2 linked regions of the Arabidopsis thaliana genome follow. The protein of the gene in region 1 interacts with the protein of each later gene in a biochemical or structural test. Each region holds a gene or a part of one and is shown on either strand. Other genes may lie near its edges.

Evidence for each region.
Region 2: of the proteins of SIZ1 (region 1) and ICE1, one has a biochemical effect on the other in vitro, tested with the Arabidopsis thaliana proteins (one study listed by BioGRID).

What each region holds. Positions count from the first base shown.
Region 1 is NC_003076.8:24,288,561-24,299,621, reverse strand, and holds the start of SIZ1 (DNA-binding protein with MIZ/SP-RING zinc finger, PHD-finger and SAP domain-containing protein), read right to left. Parts: upstream 4,862-11,061; 5' UTR 4,587-4,861; intron 4,489-4,586; 5' UTR 4,397-4,488; coding exon 4,373-4,396; intron 4,105-4,372; coding exon 4,024-4,104; intron 3,805-4,023; coding exon 3,762-3,804; intron 3,653-3,761; coding exon 3,580-3,652; intron 3,486-3,579; coding exon 3,323-3,485; intron 3,159-3,322; coding exon 3,028-3,158; intron 2,721-3,027; coding exon 2,652-2,720; intron 2,409-2,651; coding exon 2,321-2,408; intron 2,242-2,320; coding exon 2,166-2,241; intron 1,955-2,165; coding exon 1,881-1,954; intron 1,752-1,880; coding exon 1,644-1,751; intron 1,161-1,643; coding exon 999-1,160; intron 895-998; coding exon 790-894; intron 707-789; coding exon 626-706; intron 543-625; coding exon 1-542. Other genes in the region: AT5G60400 (uncharacterized protein), read left to right, coding at 7,868-7,950, 8,045-8,237; AT5G60390 (GTP binding Elongation factor Tu family protein), read right to left, coding at 8,947-9,834, 9,935-10,396. UniProt on the Arabidopsis thaliana protein: E3 SUMO protein ligase involved in regulation processes. Mediates SUMO/ attachment to PHR1, a MYB transcriptional activator controlling the phosphate deficiency responses.
Region 2 is NC_003074.8:9,829,743-9,840,803, forward strand, and holds ICE1 (basic helix-loop-helix (bHLH) DNA-binding superfamily protein), read right to left. Parts: upstream 5,531-11,061; 5' UTR 5,394-5,530; exon of another isoform or gene 5,147-5,393; 5' UTR 5,049-5,146; coding exon 4,044-5,048; coding exon of another isoform or gene 3,957-4,043; exon of another isoform or gene 3,862-3,956; coding exon 3,637-3,861; intron 3,545-3,636; coding exon 3,374-3,544; coding exon of another isoform or gene 3,344-3,373; exon of another isoform or gene 3,295-3,343; coding exon 3,211-3,294; 3' UTR 2,925-3,210; downstream 1-2,924. Other genes in the region: AT3G26742 (uncharacterized protein), read left to right, coding at 1,658-1,813; AT3G26750 (HECT-like ubiquitin-conjugating enzyme (E2)-binding protein), read right to left, coding at 10,397-11,061.

The sequences.
Region 1 (11,061 bases):
TCAGAATCACTCAGAACGATGACTTCATTATTTCCACCCTCGCCAGATTGGTTTCTGTCAGGAAAGTTATAACCTGAATCAACATTCATGGAAATGGAATCAAGTTCCATGCCGTTGGCTACAAAGTCAAAAGTTCCAATAGCATCCTGGTTTACGCTTGCATCATCACCATCCCTACCACTTCCAGTAGCACTACTACTCATTGGTATAATATTCTTCTCCTGATACCCAACCTTTTCTTGCCTATTACTGGAAGATAATCCATTTGTATTAGGTTTGCTAACTTCCCAAATGCCATTACGATTCTTCCTTATTCCAAGTTTTAGCGGGGCTGGACCATCTGAGTAACCTTCTTGCTTAACCGGTAACATTTCCATCTTCCGTTTAATATCAACAGCAGAGGGGCAAAGGCTACCATCAGGTGCATGCCACTGTGAGAGTTCCCCCAGTTCCCTTCGCTCACTCTCTCTTTTGAACTTTACACGCCAAGAACCATCAGGTTTCACTTCAATTTCAGTCACCTCTTCATCACAATGCTTCATCTGTCGTGCAGGAAGACAACTACTGAATAAAAGCGTAGATACAAAGATTTTAAGAATTCTTGAATTCCCATAAGAATACATACCTTAGACGTGATACGGTTAAAATAAGGATCGACGATTACATGCTCCACTGAGTAGTTCTTCAGACAAATAGGGCACTGCCACTGCATGTTAACAAACCCCAGAACAACTAAAGTCAGAAAACAAGAGACATAACCCAATATCTAGACAAGGATAGTAGACCTACCTTTCTGGAACGTTGATTCAACTCCACAAACACATCAAGGTCAAAACAGCCCATGTGCACACAGGGTAAAAATCTCCCAGCAACTTTTATCCTAGAACCGCTCATCTAATGACGCAAACAGAAAAGACAATAAAAAAAATTCAGTCTGCAAGATAGCCCTAGGAAGAGGATAAGTATAAAAACTGGGCTACGAGCTATTAGTAACTTACAGGACACCGAAGATTGACACCGAAGAAATCAGCAACAACTTCAATGTCACTATCACTGTCGGCATTATCATCTCCACCTCCACCTCCAATGCATCGGCGGACACGTGCAAGAGCATCTTCAAAAGTCTCCCCTTTACCCTCTTCTGGAATCAAATTTAGAACCTAGATGCAAAAATGAGTATATATATAAGCAACTTGGAGATCATTAGATCATTAACGTACAATATGAATTCCTCTGTATACAAGAACACCAACAAAAGTGATAAATATATTGATTAAAGGGATAAATGTTGCAGCACAAGGACAGACTACACTTCCGTAACCAAATCTCATACAAGGCCAGGCTCAGTGGCTCATATACGTGAAATATAGGAAGAAGAATAGGACTGTGAAATTTGAAATCTGACTAACTTTTCTAGATTTAGTGGGAGTGGGAAATAACATGGGAATAGTTTAACGTAAGTGTGTAACCACAGGTAACTTCCACAAAATTACTTTCTTGGGTACGCCAACATAATTTATTCTTTCTTTTTGTATTCAGAATATTAATTTCGTTCCTTTTTGAACATTTATGTTTGGACTCTTCATTGACCACATATACGACCAAATCTTTGAATGTTTCTTATGCATATATGTTATCAGTACCTGTTGTAGAGTCCTGCGCTTCACAAGTCTGACCCCAAAACAAAAAATCCGAACGTCACCTCCACTCAAGGATATTCTGTTAACTCCATCCCTAATACAAGATGTAATCTGCCAAAATAGTAAAATGAAATGGTTAAAACTTACATCACTGATTGCTAGATTTTCAATGTATGAGAGATTGACTCCTATATGTAATTCAAAAGGGTTACTACTCAAAAGGGATGATAAAAAACACACAATGGGTCCATCGTCGCGGCCGTTGACTCCCAAAAGCTGTCCTCCAGGTCGATTAATTGCACGTACAGGCACACCTATGAAATGATAGGGTATATATCATGAATCCCACATCAGAAACATACACAGTCTTATTGAGTATGATCAGAATAACAGACAAATAAAGACAATGTGAATGTGAATGGAATGTGCCCACAGGAATTTATGCAACATGAAATAAAACAACATTCCCCTGTTTCAAAGGAAATGCTCAACCGACTAAAACTCTGGTCGATGTCATTGTCATACCATTGACCTGCAGATCAGCATACTGAGGCCACTGCATCCTAAAGAGAACTTTATCATTCAAGAGCATACACCAAGCCTAAACAAAATTGATTTCCAGTTAGAAACGTATAGGTAGATACACCTTGACATATTAAATGTAGTTTACAAAACCCAACCTGAACATCGTACTCTGGTTTGGCCAAAAGGTCCTTGTCTGCCCTTGTGATTTGAAATGTTCTCTCCACACTCTGCATTGTGCTTGCACTGAAAAGTTTTGGATCGGAGTATTAGTACAAACAAAAGCCAGTAACAGTATTTCTTCAGCAGGTGCTATGCATATAGCCAGGAAACAATTGTCATTCTTGAAACTAGAATGAATGTCTTATACCAGTTCCAAGTAGAAAATTTAAAGTCAAAGTGACTTATAAAGTACCAATTCACACAATAATGGCACTGAAAGTACACTCGTTCAAAGCAATAGCAATATCAAGAATATAAAATTCTTACCCATCATTTGGGATAGTCGTTGCAGTCAGCCTCACTGGAGAGAGTGGATGTGCCACTGTAACCCAAAATCTGAACAAGGAAACCATGTAGGAAAACCGTGAATAATCATGCTATAGGATATCCACAGGTGCTAATGTAAAGATAGGAAATAATATATAAAAGAAAATTGACAACTATGAAAACAGTACTAGAAGAAGAAGAACAATCAAACGCAAAGAAACTAGAATGCAAAGCATGTCAAATGTATAAATATGTCTTTCTTTTCAGTTATGGCAGGAAAGAATCATAAAGCAGTGAGGGAGGAACTCAGATGGAAAATCAATCACATATCAAACTTAAACTCAGACAGGAAAAGTAAAATCCTTGAAACACATACGGGTCAGCTCGAGTAAGTCGGCAGATTTCACAATAAAATGATTCCGGAAGTGGTGGATTCCCATCCATAGGCTTATCTGGGAGAATAACACAGCCAACATGCTGCCAAACATGGCATCTTGGATCCTCACACTGAAATCGGAAGAAAAAAAACAAAAATTACAGCCAGAAAGTATCACCAAACTTCACAAATGTAATCAATGATAAATACATCACACCATCGACCATAAAATACAAAGAAATTGTCTACAGTCAGCTCAAACAGGAATAAACGCAGTGAGTTCATCCCAGATTACCTGTATCATTGAGTCTGTTTCTAGCGAGTTTCCACAAACACATCGAACTTTAATTTCTGGTTGGAAGGGGTCTTCAGGCTCTCCCTTAACTTTCAGATTACTGGTATCTGAACTCACTTGTCCTTTTGATGCTAAATCACTTGCCCCAGATACTTGCATTTTCCTATGGAACACAATATAAAATTAATGGTAACAAAGAACCGCCACAAAAAGCATGGCATCTCCTAAGAAATCTATTGAAAGAAACGAGCACTCACCTATATGTATCGTCCACTAATTTGGCAACTGCTTCCTTTGCCACTGTATTCTTTTTAGACAACAACCTGGCAGCTGTCAGTAGGGAATGAAAACGGAAGCTTATTAGAAGAAGATGGCAGAGCTAGCAGTGACTCTTAATACACCAAAACGTGAATAAACAAAAGCAAGTGGTTCATATAACCTTGTTCATCAGAAAGAAGGGTCAAGATCCGGTCGACAAGTTCCTGCACAAGAAAATTTCAAAAAGAAGTTAAATTTTTTGGTGAAAGAATAAAACAGATAACACTCTTTGCAAGGTAATGTCTTAGATTTATCTTGGAAACTGCTATATAGCTCAAGACAGCAATAATTATCACCCAAAACATCATCTTCTCTACTATAATCATTCCAAAACAATCACAAACATAATCACGACCAATGGAAGATTAGAGAACGATACTAACCTGCTTCTTTCCCTGTTTCGAAAGTCCCAGCTGAGTGAGCACATCCTTGAGCTCTTTTATCCGAAAATATGAAAGTTTTTCCTGCAACCCACAACAAAAACACAACGTTAAGCTTAACTAGAGCAAGACTAAATTCAATAACAGCAACCACGAACCATAATCCAAAACCCTTATGAGATAAAGGATCGTTTTTTACTCCCAGCAATACAATCTAGATCATAAACAAAACGGAAAAGCAAAGCTTTTTTGAAACATCCACTCTATATACCAATCAACACATTCATAACAAGTTCAAATCAACAAAAATTATAAACCAACAAGCATCCATAGATCTTTCAGACAATAATACCTTACAATTAGCTTCCAAATCCATGTCTTCAACACCAGACACAAACAAGAACCAAAAGCTCAGTTCAAAACACACGAACCTAAACTCCAGCAATTAGTCTCCATACAGCAACCGATCTAAATTAACAGAAAAAAAAGAAGGAGTTACTGAAACGAAAACCCTTGAAATTCCAAAAGACAAGACCTTTAAAGACTATTAAACGGAAAATACAAACCATGAAATCGGATACTTGATCAAACCCTATCGAAATTGATAGGTTAATGAGAGAATTGAGATGATTAGAAACTAGGGTTTTCACAGCTACGATAAGATTTTCTTTGGCCAAGGAAGAGGAAAATAAAAAGACAACCAAACCCAGACGAAGAAAAATCGATCCGCCGAGACGAAAACAAAACAAGGGTTGCCGGACGAGTCGCCGATTATCAAATCCGGTTTAATTTTCGCGCAATACGTCCGGGTTTAGTTCCTGTGTGGTCACGTGCACGGTCGTCCCCCCCACCAATATTGACGTGTTTTTGACTTTCGGTTCTCACACCACTTATTTACGACCGTAACGGAGTCTTTGTTATTTTAATCGAATATTCCCCACGTTTTATGACATCAGCCGTTCGATCAGACCGGACCGGTTTGTTATATTTTAACCTCAATTTGTTTATTTGCCGGTTTATAGTATATATCAAATCAATTTGGAAGTTTATCATCCGAAAACATGGTTTTCCATATGTCTCTCATGGCATATGTAGATATTGTATTATTTGATTCTAATTCTTCTAAGTAAGAATTTGGAAACATATTTCATGTCTCTTTTCTTCATTTGTTTTCATTGAATTGACATAGAATGTACATTGAATTGACATTTCTCACCCTCGCTAAATTCATTGAGAATTGTGGCTCAATTCTTCCATATGTGCATTATAGTTAAACTACGAATAAAGGATACAAGTGAGCAAAACCCTACTTTCAAGTTTCAACTAGTAAATCTATCGAATGGATTGCTAGACCGGATAATTCATACTCATTACGGGATGGTTCGTAAAACATGTGGGAAATTATCTTATATATCCACCAAATATTTGAGGTCTCGTAAGCATGTGATCTTGCAAATTGATACGTGGACCAAATTAGATATTGGACACATTTATATGTTCTTTCTATATGTAAAAAGCTTCATTCCGTGTGGAGTTCATTTGTTACAAGAAATGAGATATTATAGATATCAAATAGCATGAAGCTCTTTCTTCAACACTATTTCTACATACAAAAAAAAACATTATATACCAATTAGTGGTGGACTTCTGGTGATAAGATTTGGCTTTTTATCTTTTTGGATGCTGTGTTTTGAACAATGACTTGTCGAGTTTGAACCAAATTTGGTGTTAACCCGAGATATTAAAAAAAGGTTTAATTAGACCTATAGATTTTCCTTGTTCTGCTTAATGAAGATTCTAGAGTAGTCGTGAGCTGGTCTCATTGACTTGATATTTTTTTTGCTTCTAATGGAATGAGATATCTTGAGTTCATGATGTGGATAGTTTTCAAAGATTTGTCAACCTTTTCGTCTTAACATTTTTATATGTCCCTTGTCAAAGGCAAAGAAACATATCGAAAGTAAAAGAAAAGACATTTTTTTCTTGTGGGTGAGAATCAAACCAAACTTGTGAGAATTCTGCAAACGTACACAACTCTTAAATTGATAAAGCTTTTCTTGAAACTTTCAGGCTGAGGATGTGCTGCTAATCATGTGAGCTCCTTGCTGAGCTAACATTCAAAAGACCAAAACATATTTGAGCAAATAGCAAGAACCTATCTTGGAACAGATTATCATTTTAGGTAAGAGAAGACGATCTAGAGGCTCAAACCAAGGTCCTCTACGGAGCAGTTTCATTGTTTTTATGGTGTTACTATGTAAGTAGAAAGAGAATAGTTTATGAATATTAAGATGCATCTTTGTTAGAGGGTGATTATTGAACAACTGAAATACCTTGATCTCTCCGTATTAAGATGCATATATAAGGATTGCTACGTAGGAGAGATACCGTCACCACTAGTTAACTTCTTAGAAGAGGTGATGGCGCTATCTCTCCTGCGAAGCAAATCTTTATTTGCAGTTTTAAAACCATAGAAGAAGCAAGACCACTTGTATGTGTAATCACTCTATTAGTATCACCTCATCCATATATATATTATTACCTTAAGGTCAAAGAAGAGTGGACTTAATTTACACTGTCACTATCTTTGCTCTTAAATCATAATTGTCATTTAGTTTGCTGCTTTCTATGTGGCTACAATCAAATGATTATCAGGATTATTATCCCAAGTGAGGTCATGTTGTTAACGTCATCTCCAATGATTTGGCATTACCTTCATTTCCAAGAATTCACATTGATAAGTTTTTTTGTGTGTGTATATACTCTGTAGTTTATTTGAGCTCTTGATTTTGCATCTATACACAGATGCTACATATGTTCATGAACATAGATAGTGGAGAAAATTTTGGTACTTATCCATAACTAGTCCTTTGTGACCCATGTTACATATGTTGGTACTATGTCTCAAAAGCAATGACTTATCCATAACTAGTCCCTTGTATAATGTTGGTACTATGTACTATGAACAGCTCCTGGATTGTCACTTTGTAGCAAGTAGATTCTTGTAACACTCAACCATACCAACTAGCATATAATATTCTAATTATAGGCATAAATCTCAACAAAACACTTTTGACTGCTAGTTTTTAGTCTTTTTGGAGACCAAATTTCATTGTTAAGATTTGATCAAAAGGTATTATTCAAGTTATATGCAAATCATTGCAAGATTTGTTCCAATAATCATCAATTCCAAAAGTAAATGCCTTTGTCTCATTGTTACCATGTAATAAATGGTGAAAGTGATGTTAAATCTTGCATCACTGTTTTTAAGGGTCTGCTTAATACAGAAGTTTAGGTGGGAATTACTTTAATGAGCAAGTTGGTTCAAAAAACAAGTTGACAAGACTTGATATGAATGATTTAGCAGATGAGAGGCTGCATTTATTCTTGCTGAAAAAGAATAAAACTGAAAAGCCCTTATTGTCCTCGTCATACTTTTATCAATCCAACTGAGGAAAAAAAAAGAACAGTCCAAATTAGCTAGAGTTGTCTTTATTATCATGCGGAGGAAAAAAGGTAAAGTGAAACCAAAATTTATTTTCACTATAACACAAAGATCATATTCAGAACTATTTTCTTTTTAATTCACTCACAGACGGTACTTTTCTATAAAGTTTGATTAATGCATTTTAATAGTAGAAGAAGAAGAGACCATACCTAATACCTACTACTCTCAAATGCACAACACACCACAGGACAAAAAAATCTTTCTCTCATATTAATTACATGGTACCATTATATATCTATACTCTCTTTAACCCATTACCAATTCAAGATCTTGTCTTTTTTTTTCTTCTTAAAAACAAGATCCAAATTTCTGAAAAATCCATTCACTACAAAGAAAGAAATGCTGTCTACAACTCTTAGTGGTAACTATGGCTTCCCTCTGTGCATCTCTGGGATCACTCAGCAATTAAGTCTGTCCAAAGAGTAATATTTCTCTGTTTCACTTATGCTCTCTGTCTTGAGATCTTCTCTGTTTATTTGACTTGTCTCTTTTTCTCTCTCTCTGTGGATGTTGAAGAATGGCAGATCATGACAAGAGAAGGAAGGTGATACAGAGGAGAAGGAGATCAGAAGGTAAACATGAGTACAAGAGCCATGGTGAAGAAGATGTGGAGAGGCTTCAAGAGAATGAAGATGTTAGAGATCTAGTTGCTTTACTACAAGATCTAGGCTTGTGGAGCTTTTCTTCTCACACAGCCAAAGCTGCTTAGTGTTTTTACTTTTATTACAAGATGTTGTAGGTTTGTGGAGCTTTTCTTCCCCACACAGCAAAAGCTGCTGCTTAGTGTTTAAGAAATCCAAAAGCCTTTTCATTATTAGATCTCACTGAGTTTATGTTTCTTGTAGAACTGCAGATCACAGAATCTTTAGCTGGAAAGCATTTTAAGTTATTCGGGATGTTTTTCATTGTTGTTGTTGACACGTTTATTTGTCGTTGGTGAGATGTTTTTACTGCATCTTTTGGCCTTATCCATTTCTTTTGGTTTTTAGTTCTCAGCATTTTTTATTGATAAATTACTATTTCTGTTTGTTGATTGAGAACCTAAGTCTTTTTAAAAAGTTCGTATGAAGTAATTGTCAGAAAACACTAAGCACAAGTTAATTCTAACGAAACTATAGAACCCTATCTCTTACATAGATCTTAAAACGCTAAGTATGGTTGGGTTGATCTCTGAATGATTGTTTAAACAAGAACAAAGAAAGACAGCAACTTTGTAACACAACTCCTAAATAAGTTTCAAGCAAAATTATCCGGAAACTGCATAATTGAAAACCATAATAAAAAGTCTCAGAGATATCCAAAAAGGAGGGAGAGAGAAAGTCACAGAAATAAAGAGAAAAAAGAAAAAGGCTCAAACGCCATCAAAGTTTTAAGAACCAAAGAAAACCATAAGAGAGTCGATCATAACGAAAGTCTCATCATTTGGCACCCTTCTTCACTGCAGCCTTGGTGACCTTGGCTCCAGTTGGGTCCTTCTTGTCCACGCTCTTAATAACACCAACAGCAACGGTCTGCCTCATGTCCCTAACAGCGAAACGTCCCAAAGGTGGGTACTCGGAGAAAGTCTCAACAACCATGGGCTTGGTTGGGGTCATCTTAACCATACCAGCGTCACCATTCTTCAAAAACTTGGGCTCCTTCTCAATCTCCTTACCAGAACGCCTGTCAATCTTGGTCAAGATCTCAGAGAACTTGACTGCAATGTGAGAGGTGTGGCAATCGAGAACTGGGGCGTAACCGTTACCAATCTGACCAGGGTGGTTCATGATGATGACCTGGGAGGTGAAGTTGGCGGCACCCTTAGCTGGATCATCCTTGGAGTTAGAGGCAACGTATCCTCTCTTAAGATCCTTGACAGCAACATTCTTGACATTGAATCCAACATTGTCACCGGGAAGTGCCTCAAGAAGAGACTCGTGGTGCATCTCAACAGACTTAACCTCAGTGGTCAACCCTGTGGGAGCAAAGGTAACAACCATACCAGGCTTGATCATACCAGTCTCAACACGTCCCACTGGCACCGTTCCAATACCACCAATCTTGTAGACATCCTGAAGTGGAAGACGAAGGGGCTTGTCTGATGGCCTCTTGGGCTCGTTGATCTGGTCAAGAGCCTCAAGAAGAGTTGGTCCCTTGTACCAGTCAAGGTTGGTTGACCTCTCAATCATGTTGTCTCCCTCGAATCCAGAGATTGGCACAAATGGGATTTTGTCAGGGTTGTATCCGACCTTCTTCAGGTATGAAGACACCTCCTTGATGATTTCATCGTACCTAGCCTTGGAGTATTTGGGGGTGGTGGCATCCATCTGTTAGGCGAAAATAGAAAAAGACGCAAGTTAGCAACAAATAAAACGAATCAATCAATCACAAAAGCAGATACAATGATGAATACGAAAGTTATATTACCTTGTTACAACAGCAAATCATCTGCTTGACACCAAGGGTGAAAGCAAGAAGAGCGTGCTCACGGGTCTGACCATCCTTAGAGATACCAGCCTCAAAACCTCCAGTGGTGGAGTCAATGATAAGAACAGCACAATCAGCCTGGGAGGTACCAGTAATCATGTTCTTGATGAAATCACGATGTCCTGGGGCATCAATGACTGTGCAGTAGTACTTGGTGGTCTCGAACTTCCATAGAGCAATATCGATGGTAATACCACGCTCACGCTCGGCCTTAAGTTTGTCCAACACCCATGCGTACTTGAAGGACCTCTTGTTCATCTCAGCAGCCTCCTTCTCGAACCTCTCGATGACACGCTTGTCAATACCACCAAGCTTATAGATCAAGTGACCAGTTGTGGTCGATTTTCCAGAATCAACATGACCAATGACCACAATGTTAATGTGAAACTTCTCTTTACCCATAGCTGTCAAAACAAAAACAAAAATCGAAACATCAGAATCAACAAAAATACATCAACCATCAACTATACAACAACCAAAACGTCAACAATATAATCAAACACAGATCCACTGAAACAAAACCACATATCACCAGTTGAGCTATCATATCAAACCACGAGACAACAGGTATATCAAATCTAAGGAACATCACCAACCAAATACATCAGAATCAACTATAACCAGAGCAGATACAGATCGACATGATAAAAAACATGCGAAGACGATATCAAAACTAAACGCTATCAATTAATCAGAGGATTATACATCAGACTCAATAGGAACAATATTGATCGACGAGTAAACGGATCTAAAGCTAGAGAATCAAAAGCAGTATAACAACAGCAAAGAATAAGCGATAATCACAGTCAATATAGAGCTAAAACTAAGAATCTAAACCCTAAACAGCTACAATAATCATAAGAAGATGAAGATCGGAGACACTAAAGAGAGAAAATATCTAACCTGCAAGTAAGAATCTGAAAGGAGTCTTGCGGCTACGAAAATGTGAGAAATATGAGAGCGCACCCTAATCCTGGTCGACTCGAGGGTACTTATAGCTACGAGGTGTCTAGGGTTTTCGCTTTCTCTTTGTGGTTCTACTTTTACTAATTTGCCCTTACGCGTTT
Region 2 (11,061 bases), on another chromosome or scaffold:
GAACGACTCTACTTCAATCAACGTTTAAGAGCATCTCTTTTCTTAGAAACTTTTTGGGTTTTTCAAAATATTTTATTTTAATCAAACTGTAGATGCTATGTGTTAAGAACCTTTTTCCATGGGTTCTTGAGAAGCATTCTTCAATCTCTCTTTTACTTTATAATTACTTTTTTAATTGATGAGAACAACAATGGACATGCCCAAAATTTGTTACTCGGAAGAACTGTGCAACAAAAAAACAAATAAGAAACAAAGTTTACATGTTTTTACGAACTTGAAACGTGGATAGTCTATATTAGAAGCTTTTGATCAAACTGTAGATGCTCATCTTAAAAATAACATCAAATGGTAAATAATTTTTTAAAAATTGGTAAAAATAAAATAATAGATAGTACAAAATACAATAAATAAGAAATATTGACAAAAAAAAACAAATATGAAAAGAAATCTACGTACTTTAAAAACTTGAAACGTGAACGACATATATTAGATGAATTTAATGATCTAACGGTATCACCTCAAAAATCATGTTTATTTAGTAGAAATATTAATAAATAGATAGTAATACAAGAAATAATACATACAAAAATGTTGACCAAGAAAACAAATAAGAAACAAAATCTAGATGTTTTAAGAAACTTAAAACGTGGACGACATATATTAAAAGACTTTGATCTAACGGTAGATGTTCACCTCGAAAATCATGTCAATTTGGTTGAAATATTTGTAAATAGATATAAGAAACAATAAATACAAAAATGTTAACCAAGAAAATAAATAAAAAACAAAATCTACATGTTTTAAGAAACTTGAAACGTGGACGACATATATTACAAGACTTTGATCTAACGGTAGATATTCACCTCGAAAATCACGTCAATTTGGTAGAAATAATAATAAATATATAGTAATATAAGAAACAATAAATACAAAAATATTGACCACAAAAACAAATAAGAAACAAATCTATATGTTTTAAGAACCTTGAAAAGTGAACGGCATATATTAGAAGATTTTGATCTAACGATAGATGTTCTTGAAAATAATATCAAAATAGTAAAAATATTTAATGAAAATTATTTTAGAAAGATAATATTAGATAGTATAAAATATAATAAATGAGAAACGTTGACTGTAAAAAAAAACATGTTTTAAGAACCTCGAAACCTGAACGACATAGATTAGAAGATTTTGATCCAACGGTAAATGTTCACCTTGGAATTAACGTCAAGATAATTCCAAAATGCTATAAATTGAGGTTTTTGTTTTAGTTCTTCTTCACACTTACATATCAAATATATTTTATTCATTCTATAAACTAAAAGAAAAAATCCTTTCTCTCATCTCCCTTTCTGTTGCTTACCATTTTTTCAAAACTGTCTTTGAAGTGATGATATGGACAGGTTTTCTCTCCTGCTTTTTGTTTTATCTTTTAGAAATCCAAATTTTCATATCTCGTAGAATAGTAATCTCTTATTTATTAACCTTATGGAAATGAGTTTTTGTCCCTCGTAGACTTGTTGAGTGTGAATACAAAGGTGGTGTTTTCGCATTAAACCTTTTTTTTTTGCTGTGAAAAATGTTCTACTTTTGATAGGGTAAATGGGAGGTTCAAGGCCCATCATAATAGAAATCTTCTTCTTTTTTTATCATATGGATGCTCCTCCCCTCTAATCACTCATTTTATCATTCTCATTTTTTATATTTACCGCTAATGCAAGAATCTCATCTTCCAGCTTCTGGTCAGAGGCTTGACCATTTGTATATGCGCTTCTCCCATGTCCCGTATAAACCAAAATTCTCAAGGTTCTAGAGATTTTCTATACCGACATGGCGAAAGCGTAAACAAGAACAGTCAAGCATCTGACCAGGAGTTGAAAATGGAATCTTGAGTTAGAAGCGAATGTAAAGACATGAAATGAAGTGAGAGTGATCAAAGGCGACCAAAATCCAATGTTATGTACTTATGACTAGACAATTTTTAATTTTGTAGATGAATGAATACATGTTTGATATTTGAATACCCAAGTTAGACCTAAACTAATCGTCTAATCCAATGAAACTTTTTGATTTTTTTTGGTATTGGTAAGAATGTTTAATAAGATGAAAATATGTAGCATTTTGGCACATTTTTTCATATCAAAATATCACTTCTCACATAACAACAATTAACGAGCAAGAAAAATAAAGCCTATCATTGAGCTTCTTCCTCCTAATCCTATCATGGACTTGTAATGCTTGGACTCTTGGGGATCGTGTGGAGAAAAGATGATTCAGTAGAAAATGGAGTAGTTTTTTTTTACTGAAGTAAAAACTGAAAGGTTTGAATCCTTCTTAAGAGAGAGACTTTCACAGAGAAAACATTTAGAAAAACAAAAAAAAAGAAGTACCAAACGGCTTGGATCATCAAGAGGACATCACTAAAAACTAGAATCACGAGGACTTCATTACTACATGCATTATAATCATAGAAAAATTCAGAGAAGCTAAATTAAAACCCTATAAAAAAGGTTAGGTTTTTAAAAGATTCAAAGGACCTACCACTTTTACGTTTCTTCATCACATCCTCTACGTTCTCGTGACTCTCTCTTTCTATCTCTAACCGCCATTAACTATGTCTCCTCTCTATCTCTCTAAATCTTTCTTTTGTACGGATACATACAACGTATATAAAAGTTCTTAAAACATTAAGTAAGCATTTAAAGAAGAAAACAAACAAAATGGTAGGGTCTATTCTTTGCTCTGCCTCTTCCTTCACCATTCTTTTCTCTGTTTTTTCTTAAAAATCTCAATGTTTTTCTTCACTCTTACATCATCAAAGCTCATTTCATCAGCTAATACCAAAGCTATACCTTTAACATAACTGTTTTGTCTGTATATGTGCAAATGTTTTGTCTGTCTTCTTTGAGAAGTTCACTCATGAACAAAGATGAAGACTTTAAAAAAAATTCTTGAGCATAGCTTTAAGATGAAACATAAATGGAAGTTAACATTGCTAATAAAAGGTTGAAGTTATGTATCCAACAACAACAACCTCAAGTTCTCAAAAGCTTAATTTAAAAACAACTCTCATTTGCAATTGCATTACATGCTTAGATTGAAGTTATGACATAAGAAAAAAAGTTGAGAAGAAAATTGCAGATTTAAAGGGACTTAGTTCTTCTAGCTCTGCTTCAACAGATGCTTAATGGACTCGAAGTCAGGATCAGATCAGATCATACCAGCATACCCTGCTGTATCGAAAAGCACTGCTTTGATTTGATCAGGCAGTATCTCTTGTCCTTCTTGGCATTGCTGATAGACAAAAGAAAACATGTTACTACTAAAACTGTTCTACAAATCCTTAACCTTTCAACTGAGAGTAGAAGATCACCTCAGCGCGGAAAACATCCAAGGCAAACCCATTAAAACAGCTGATCACAGCTTGCTGAACATCCAATCCAAGATTATCCAAAGCTTTCATGGTAGCGAGCAACAGACCCGGTCTACGACCACAGAACATATGAATGTTCACTGCTCTTCCTTCCCTTAATCTAACCTCAACCTGTGAAAAAGAAGCAGAGTAATCTCTCAAACATGAATCTTTGTTTTCTTCTTTCCAGTCTAAGCAAAAGTTATACAGAATATAGTCCTTACTCTAGCTTGCTGGCCTTTAGGACTTGGTAAAGAAGAGGGACACAACTCTTCCTTGACACGACAAGAAAGAGTTTGCGGTGTAGGTGTCAACGGATGGAAGCTTGATGAAGTTGGAGGCAAAGATCCAGGAGGAGTTGACTCAAGTTCATTGTGAAGATCATTGATCCTTTGTAGAAGTTCCTTCAGATAATCAATTGCATCTCCAAGTATTGATGCTCTATCCATCTGCAAATTCATCGAAAATCCATAAAACACTATCACGAGCCTCTTCCTCAAAAGAGTAAAGCAACTACATGCAAAGTTTGACAACAACAAAGGCCCTACAAAGCTACAACACAACAATTCTCTATAACAGCAACAAGTAAACAAGCTCTTAAGGAGATAAAAGAGACAAAGTAAGTGTTTACTTTGCTGATCTTGGGGACAACTGATCTAAGCATATAAAGCCTATCATTAAGCTTCTTCCTCCTTCTCCTCTCAGCCATCAGATTCTTAGCAGGCATACCTTTCTTCTTACCCTTTCCTCCTCCTCCAATCTGAACACTCTCAGCCGCTTTACCGCTCTCATTTATCTCATCAGACTCATAGTTCAACCCAGAAACCTCAATCCCAGTCTCATCCATATCTCCATCATCACTAAACCTCCTCATTCCCGAACTCTCCGAATTTCCCATTTTGCTTCCAGAGCTCTGACGCATAGCTGCACGTTTCTGGAACAGAGTAGGCTGTGCACCAGACGATGCTAACACCTCTAAAGGCTTCAGAACTTTCGCTCTGTTCCCAACAAAACCACCATTAGCAGGACTACCAAAACCTTCCAACTCCAACGGAGCTGTGAAACCACCACACAACATTGTGTTGTTGTTGTTGCTTTCCGGCGCAAGAAGTGACCGAGCAGACAAGAAATCAGGAACAGAACTCAAATCCCTGTTCCCCAATTGTGTCAAAGAACCAAACCCCATCGAAATAGGAGCATGGATTTGGTTAAGAAAACCAGATTCAGAGCCAAACTCAAAAGCATTATCAAAAGGGTTTGCAGAAGAAGGAACATTGAGAAGACAACCCTTGTTGTTGTTAGTTGACAAGAACTGATTTTGCTGAGAAGGGTCAAGACTAAAAGCTTGAGAAGGAGAACAAGAAGAAGAAGAATCAATAGAGTGTTGAAGAAGAAGATTATCATTAGGGTTAAAAGGAAAACCACCAAAGTATCTGAAATCTGGCTGATTCTGTAACATCTGAAGATCTTGTGGATGTGGTTGGTTACTACTAAACCAATCACCTTCAAGCATAGGCTTAAACTGAGAAGAACCATCTTCTTGATTCCTTCCCCATGAACCTTCCTCGTTCTCTTCCCTTTCTCCACCACCACCGTTTAACCAAACCCCTCCACCATTGTTTCCGTCAAGACCCATCGCCAAAGTTGACACCTTTACCCCAAAGTCTGAACCTTTAGAGGAAAATTCTGCAAAGTTGAGACCTTTAACTGAAATTTGGAAGCTTGAAGACAATTCTGCAAAAGTTTGAAAACAAAAGATATATACTTTGAATATTCAGAGACTTGGAAAAGTAAAAAAAGAGAAGCATTAAAGTAGAATCACGAGGATTTCATGAATTGAAGAAGCGAAATCTGAAAAGGAAGATAGAGATAGAGAGAGAGAATGATAGATTCATTTCTCAGAGCTTTCAAAAATTGAAACTTTTTTTTTGATGGATTCAATTTCGGCCACCATGAAATTGCTTTATCATTGAACACATACCCCAGATTTCTCGTGACTCTCTTTGCTTTGCTTCGTTTACCGTATCTCTCTCTCTCTCACCGTCACTATTTCTCCATTTTTCTGCTTAATTTTGGCTTAAGCTTATCTCTCTGTCTCTGTTGTCACTGTCTCTGTCTTTATATAGACAGTGTTTAAGTAAGTTAATGATGATGATGATAATTTCAAAGTGTAATTAGCATCATTCATGCAACGCGTGTCTTCCATGCATTTCTTTAACTCATATTATTACCTAATTATTGTTATGTACTTAAAAGTTCTTTTTCAAAAGATGGTAATAAAATTTATTTTATATTCTTACTATTAAATATATTTCCTTTTATTTTTTGTATTTTTTTAAAAAATTATAAATAATTATGTTGTAACGCATATCTCGACTTTACCGGCGTCGACATCTTTTCGATGGTTCCTAAGCTTCTTGAACAAAGCCACATCAAGCTCAAGTTTGTAAGTAAATAGTTTAATTTCATAAGTCTTTTAAACATTAATTAAGTAAGGACGAGTAATTCCAAATTTTCTGATGATTGTAGCGTTTATCACCATTATCAACTAAATTGAGTTCCCAAAAAAATATAGTTGTGTTGCGATATGCTTTCTAGTCTTCTAGAGGAAGTAATTAGGGATTCATTTTCTAAAAAGTTTTGTTAGTTTCAATTGTGGCTTTGTGCCTTAAATTGGCTTTTTGCTTATATAGTTTTGGTTTATGCTTTATTATTAGAGAATTTGTTTTTCTACCGGCTAAGATTCCGGAGATTTAAACGTGTTCTCCGGCTATCTATCTTAGTTTCCTTCATTTAAAGGTTTTAATAAACATTGAATTTTTTTTTTTTTATGGGCTGTTTGTTGCAGTCCACCCATACTATATGGGTTCAATTAGGATCACTATGTAGTAGACCTCAGCCCAATTCATTATGTATTTTTTATCTTCTTTCTAATTTCATACAAACTATAAAATTCTACCTAAATAACCAATTTCCATTTATTTCTGTAGTTGTAATTTATAATCAATAATTCGCGTTTATTGTTTCGAAATTTGAGTAAATCTGAATTTAAGACTCGGTCAAACTTTTTAAGACTCGGCCAAGCTTTCAAAGTGTTTTTGACATGTTGTTGGGAAGGTTTTAAACTCGGATTTACTCTAATCGCGAAATAGTAAACATGAATTATTGATTTTAAATTGTAATTACATATAATAATTGAATTTGGTAAATTGGGTAGAATGTGGAATTAGATAGAACAAAAAGAGCAGAAGGTGAATTGGATAGAGGTCAAAAATATTGGTAATCCTAGTTAAACGCATATAATACATGTGGATTGGTACAAACAGCCATTTTTTATTTATGCATCAAGTACGGTAGTGCATTTTATCCGTTTCATGAATATTGATTTTGCAAATTTTCATTTCACACAGATTAAAAATTTATACTGCATTTTCTTTCTTTCTATCTACTTCTTTTTATTTACTGTAGCTATACATGATTTGATTTTCAATAATAAACACTTCCCAAGAATTATAATTCAATATTAGTTTTACTTTATTTTAAAGCTACTATAATACACATAGGAATCTTGAAGATTGATCTTTGATGAAATGGATGACGTATCTATTTCACCAGTTTCAATATATTGTTTCTTTGCAAATATATGAAAATAGTCTCTTTGTTTTCAATAAATCCAGCATGGCTTGAACAAAATAAACTTACTCATTAGAAATTTTTTAAAGATGAATATGAACAACTTAAAGCTTATTTTTAACTCCATCAAATTAAATGGTAATGGTTAGTGTGCAAGGAAAACTTATTTCCAAGTAGTCGATATATCCTTCATTTGGTAGCAATTTGGTGAATGTGCTGAATCAACTAGCAACTCAATGTTCTTCAAAATTTGGGGTAGAATCTTCGGAGTGCTCTTCAACTTCGATTTGAGAAATCATTATTATTTTTTGTTTCGATCCATTACAATCACCGCAATGTTAAGTTTATTAAAACTGAGATCACTAGGTAGAAAAGTAGAACCACTTAATTTGCTTTTCATATATAAGTTCAAATTTAAAGAAATTATTTTTTTGGTTTTCCCTAAGGTTTGGGGTTGAAAATTTTGAAAGAAAGTAATAGAGTTCGATATATGTATATTAATTTCTTTCCAGTTTTGATGTTTAAAGAAAAACTATGTAATTCGAAAAACAAAATCTACTTAACGATGTTATTGACGGTGGTCCGGTTGTCTTTAGTTCGACTAGCATCATATCCAAATATAGTTTAAAATATCAGTTAATTTTCTGTTAAAGACATGAAATGTCTTAACATGTGCATGCCATCCACACTAAATTTTCTACGCCAAAGAAAATTCAATTGTATAAAATTGGAAGACCATAGGTTTGTCTACGCATAAAAAAATGTTCAAAAAAATGCATGATCATCGTTAAGTTATTACTCTCACCCACAAACTTACAACTCTATAGATTAACTATTCTTTGTAGGCATGATCATCACTAGATTGTAGTCGAAGTTTATAAGCAAAAGTTAATCCCAGTCTCTTACACTTCTAACAACCCCAACAATATTTTCTTCTTCTAACTTAACTTAGTTATAATAAAACTAAGCAAACATTTCTTTATTGGGCTTTAACCAAAACCGATGGCCCAAAATACTTCTCAGCCCAAACCATTATCTTCTTCTCCTTGTTGACTTTTCTGTTGACCATCTCCACCAGCAATAATAACTACAAGGCCTAACCTGATATGCATTCGACGAGATATGTATTCGACGAAAAAGAAAAAGAGAAATATGCATTATAGAAACAAGAGGCCTAATCTGACAAAACAAGATTTAGACTGTACCAAAATAAATAATTTAAGTAAAAATATTTTTAAAATAATGTAAACGTTTTTGTGAGCTTAGACAATTAAAAAATAGCCAAAGTTATTTATGGACTTTATTGACTAAAATGAATATAAAACTTATATGATAAAACTAAAATGAAATATATGAGTATATTATAGGCCTTTGTTTGTATTTCGTATGTGATCCCTATGAGGAAACTAATAAGCTTGGAATATTAGATCATATTGGTAGCTAGATCAAGGTGTTAAACCTCGTAAATTCAATTGTTAGATTAAAGAGAGAAATGTATATGCAAAAGACAGAGGAGAAACACATACGTTAAAGTTAGGCTTTTTGAAGTTTGAAATAAAAAAATGGTTAACACTTCGTCTGTTCTTACCCATTTCATTTAATAAAGTATGAAAACAAATGATAAAGCTCAAGATATGTTGATCATTTCCAGAGTACAGTGTTAAACAAAATTTTGTGTATTTCGATTGTACAAAGAATGCATATGAGAGATAGAAAAGACTTGAATATATGACCATTTCAAAGCAAAGTACTCTACTAATTGTTGTGTTAGTATATCAATTAATTGTTATTCCTTTTAACTAGGGATTTGACCAAATGTTTTATTAGAAAATTAAACAACTTTGTTGTATGTAATAGCCGGAATTTTTTTGGATTAGAGTAGTCATTTTAGCTTATCCAATTTTTTTTTTTTTTTTGCGATATCATTCGCTATGAAAAATTATTCAATTTTGAAAATCTTGTGTGGTTTAAAACTAAGGTTCTTACATGCGTCATTCAAATGAAAATAGCTCCATCTTTCTTCATCTTAATTGATCATATTAATTGTCTATAATTAGTGTTAACAGCTATGAAGATTTTATTTTGGCATATCGATTTCGGCACAATATAAATAGAGAAGAATCGGAAGAAAATATTGGAGACAACGACATACTTGATGACAACAGAGATAATGGAGGTGGAAGTGACGGTGAAGACATAGACAAAGTAGATGTTAACGATGATAGTTATAAATATGTCAACTAATTAAGAAAACACCAAAATCACATATCATATCTCTAACTATTTTGTGCAAAACAAACATGAAAGTCGTTCATATTTGCAACTTTATTATTCATGTTCAAAAAATACAAAATAATCATATAAAGGAAAAAATAATACACAATATACCCATCAAAGTCTGGGTGGTGTAGTCGGTTATCACGCTAGTCTCACACACTAGAGGTCCCCGGTTCGAACCCGGGCTCAGACATATCTAAAATATCTGGAGATGTATGGTCTTTGGGCTTGAACTTCCATATATTAAAAAATATATATATATATACATAATATATCCCTTTTTCATTGTTGTCAAATTTTAAAATTTTGATAAGTAATATATCAAATCAAAAGTCTCGATATGGAGAGTTCAACTATATTTTTAGAATTTTTAAAAACAAATGTATATAATTGTGAAAACGCTTACAATATGTGCAAAAGATGCAAAAATGAGATTTATTGCGTATTATTTTAGATTTCATAGGATTATTTTGCATTTTTTGACGTGAAAAATAAAATTGCAAAAATGAGTGACTTAGAGAATTTTTTCACAACCCTTATATAATTGAAGAAAATTTGAAATCAATTACGTGTCTTGCAATTTTAATTTTAAAACAATTACGTATTTCTTTTTGACATTAGGTTTAGGGTTGGTGATATTCCTATTTACCTTAGTTTCACCAAGGTCTATATAAAGACCTCTTATGATTAATAAAGAAAAAATCTACAACAATTAACGTAATTCTCTCTAAGAGACACTTGGGTCAAAGGGAAGGTTTTGCTTAAATCACGGGTACTGCATATTACCATATCACTAGATTTAAGTCTTAGGCTTTTGCTCGTATCATTAATTAGCAAATGAGGTGGCTTTAGATCCTAGGTCCAATATCAGTTATTATTTCAAACTTTGAATCTTGAATAAAGATAATGTGAGAAGAAATATTCCTTTCATTCAATTGAAAAACCAAATATTTTAATACAAGTTAGAACAACGTCAATAACCATAACTAAACCAAAAGGTAAATGTTGTTACTAAACAAGTAAAAAAACTGAGTCACAAATAAACTCAGAAAAAGGTGAAGAAAAGATTCATTATCATAGATGCATCGATGAGACAAGTGCGCCTTGAAGATATGAACACGAAGATGGAAGAAATTTGCTTGCATTCGTTATTAACTCTATCAACTCCTCTCCTTGTCCCTTCAAAATGTATACTTCTTCATCAATCTTCTTCACTACCGAGCTGTTGCAATCAGAAAACAGAACCTTCACAATAGCGCTTAACTCTAATGCGGAACCTGGTTCATCTTGGCTCGAGCAAAGACCAGTCGAGGAAAATGTGTTTGGATTCAAAATAACGATGTTGAACAGAGGTGATTTAGTTGTCAAATCTTTGACCAACACGTGAAATGATAACTCCTCTTTGGAGCATTCCACTAGCTGATTCGTAAACATTCTTTCCAATGTGTATTTCCTGAAAACGTCAGAGGATTCACCCGTCGTCGATGATGTGGAAATATAGCATTTGAAGAGTCTAACTCCACCATCAATGGGTTTACCGTTGCTCCCAACACCAGAAGGATAGGCTCCAAGAGGAGAGGAACACTCAGGGCAAGCAAATTCAATCCACTCGACATTCTTTGACACATTTGACGCTTTCGCCATAAAAACATCCTCAAGAAACCCATCAAGAAGAAACTTCTTATCAAGTGTAAGTTTCTTCTCCTCCAGCTGAACACTCTCATTAGAGTCAGGCGAGT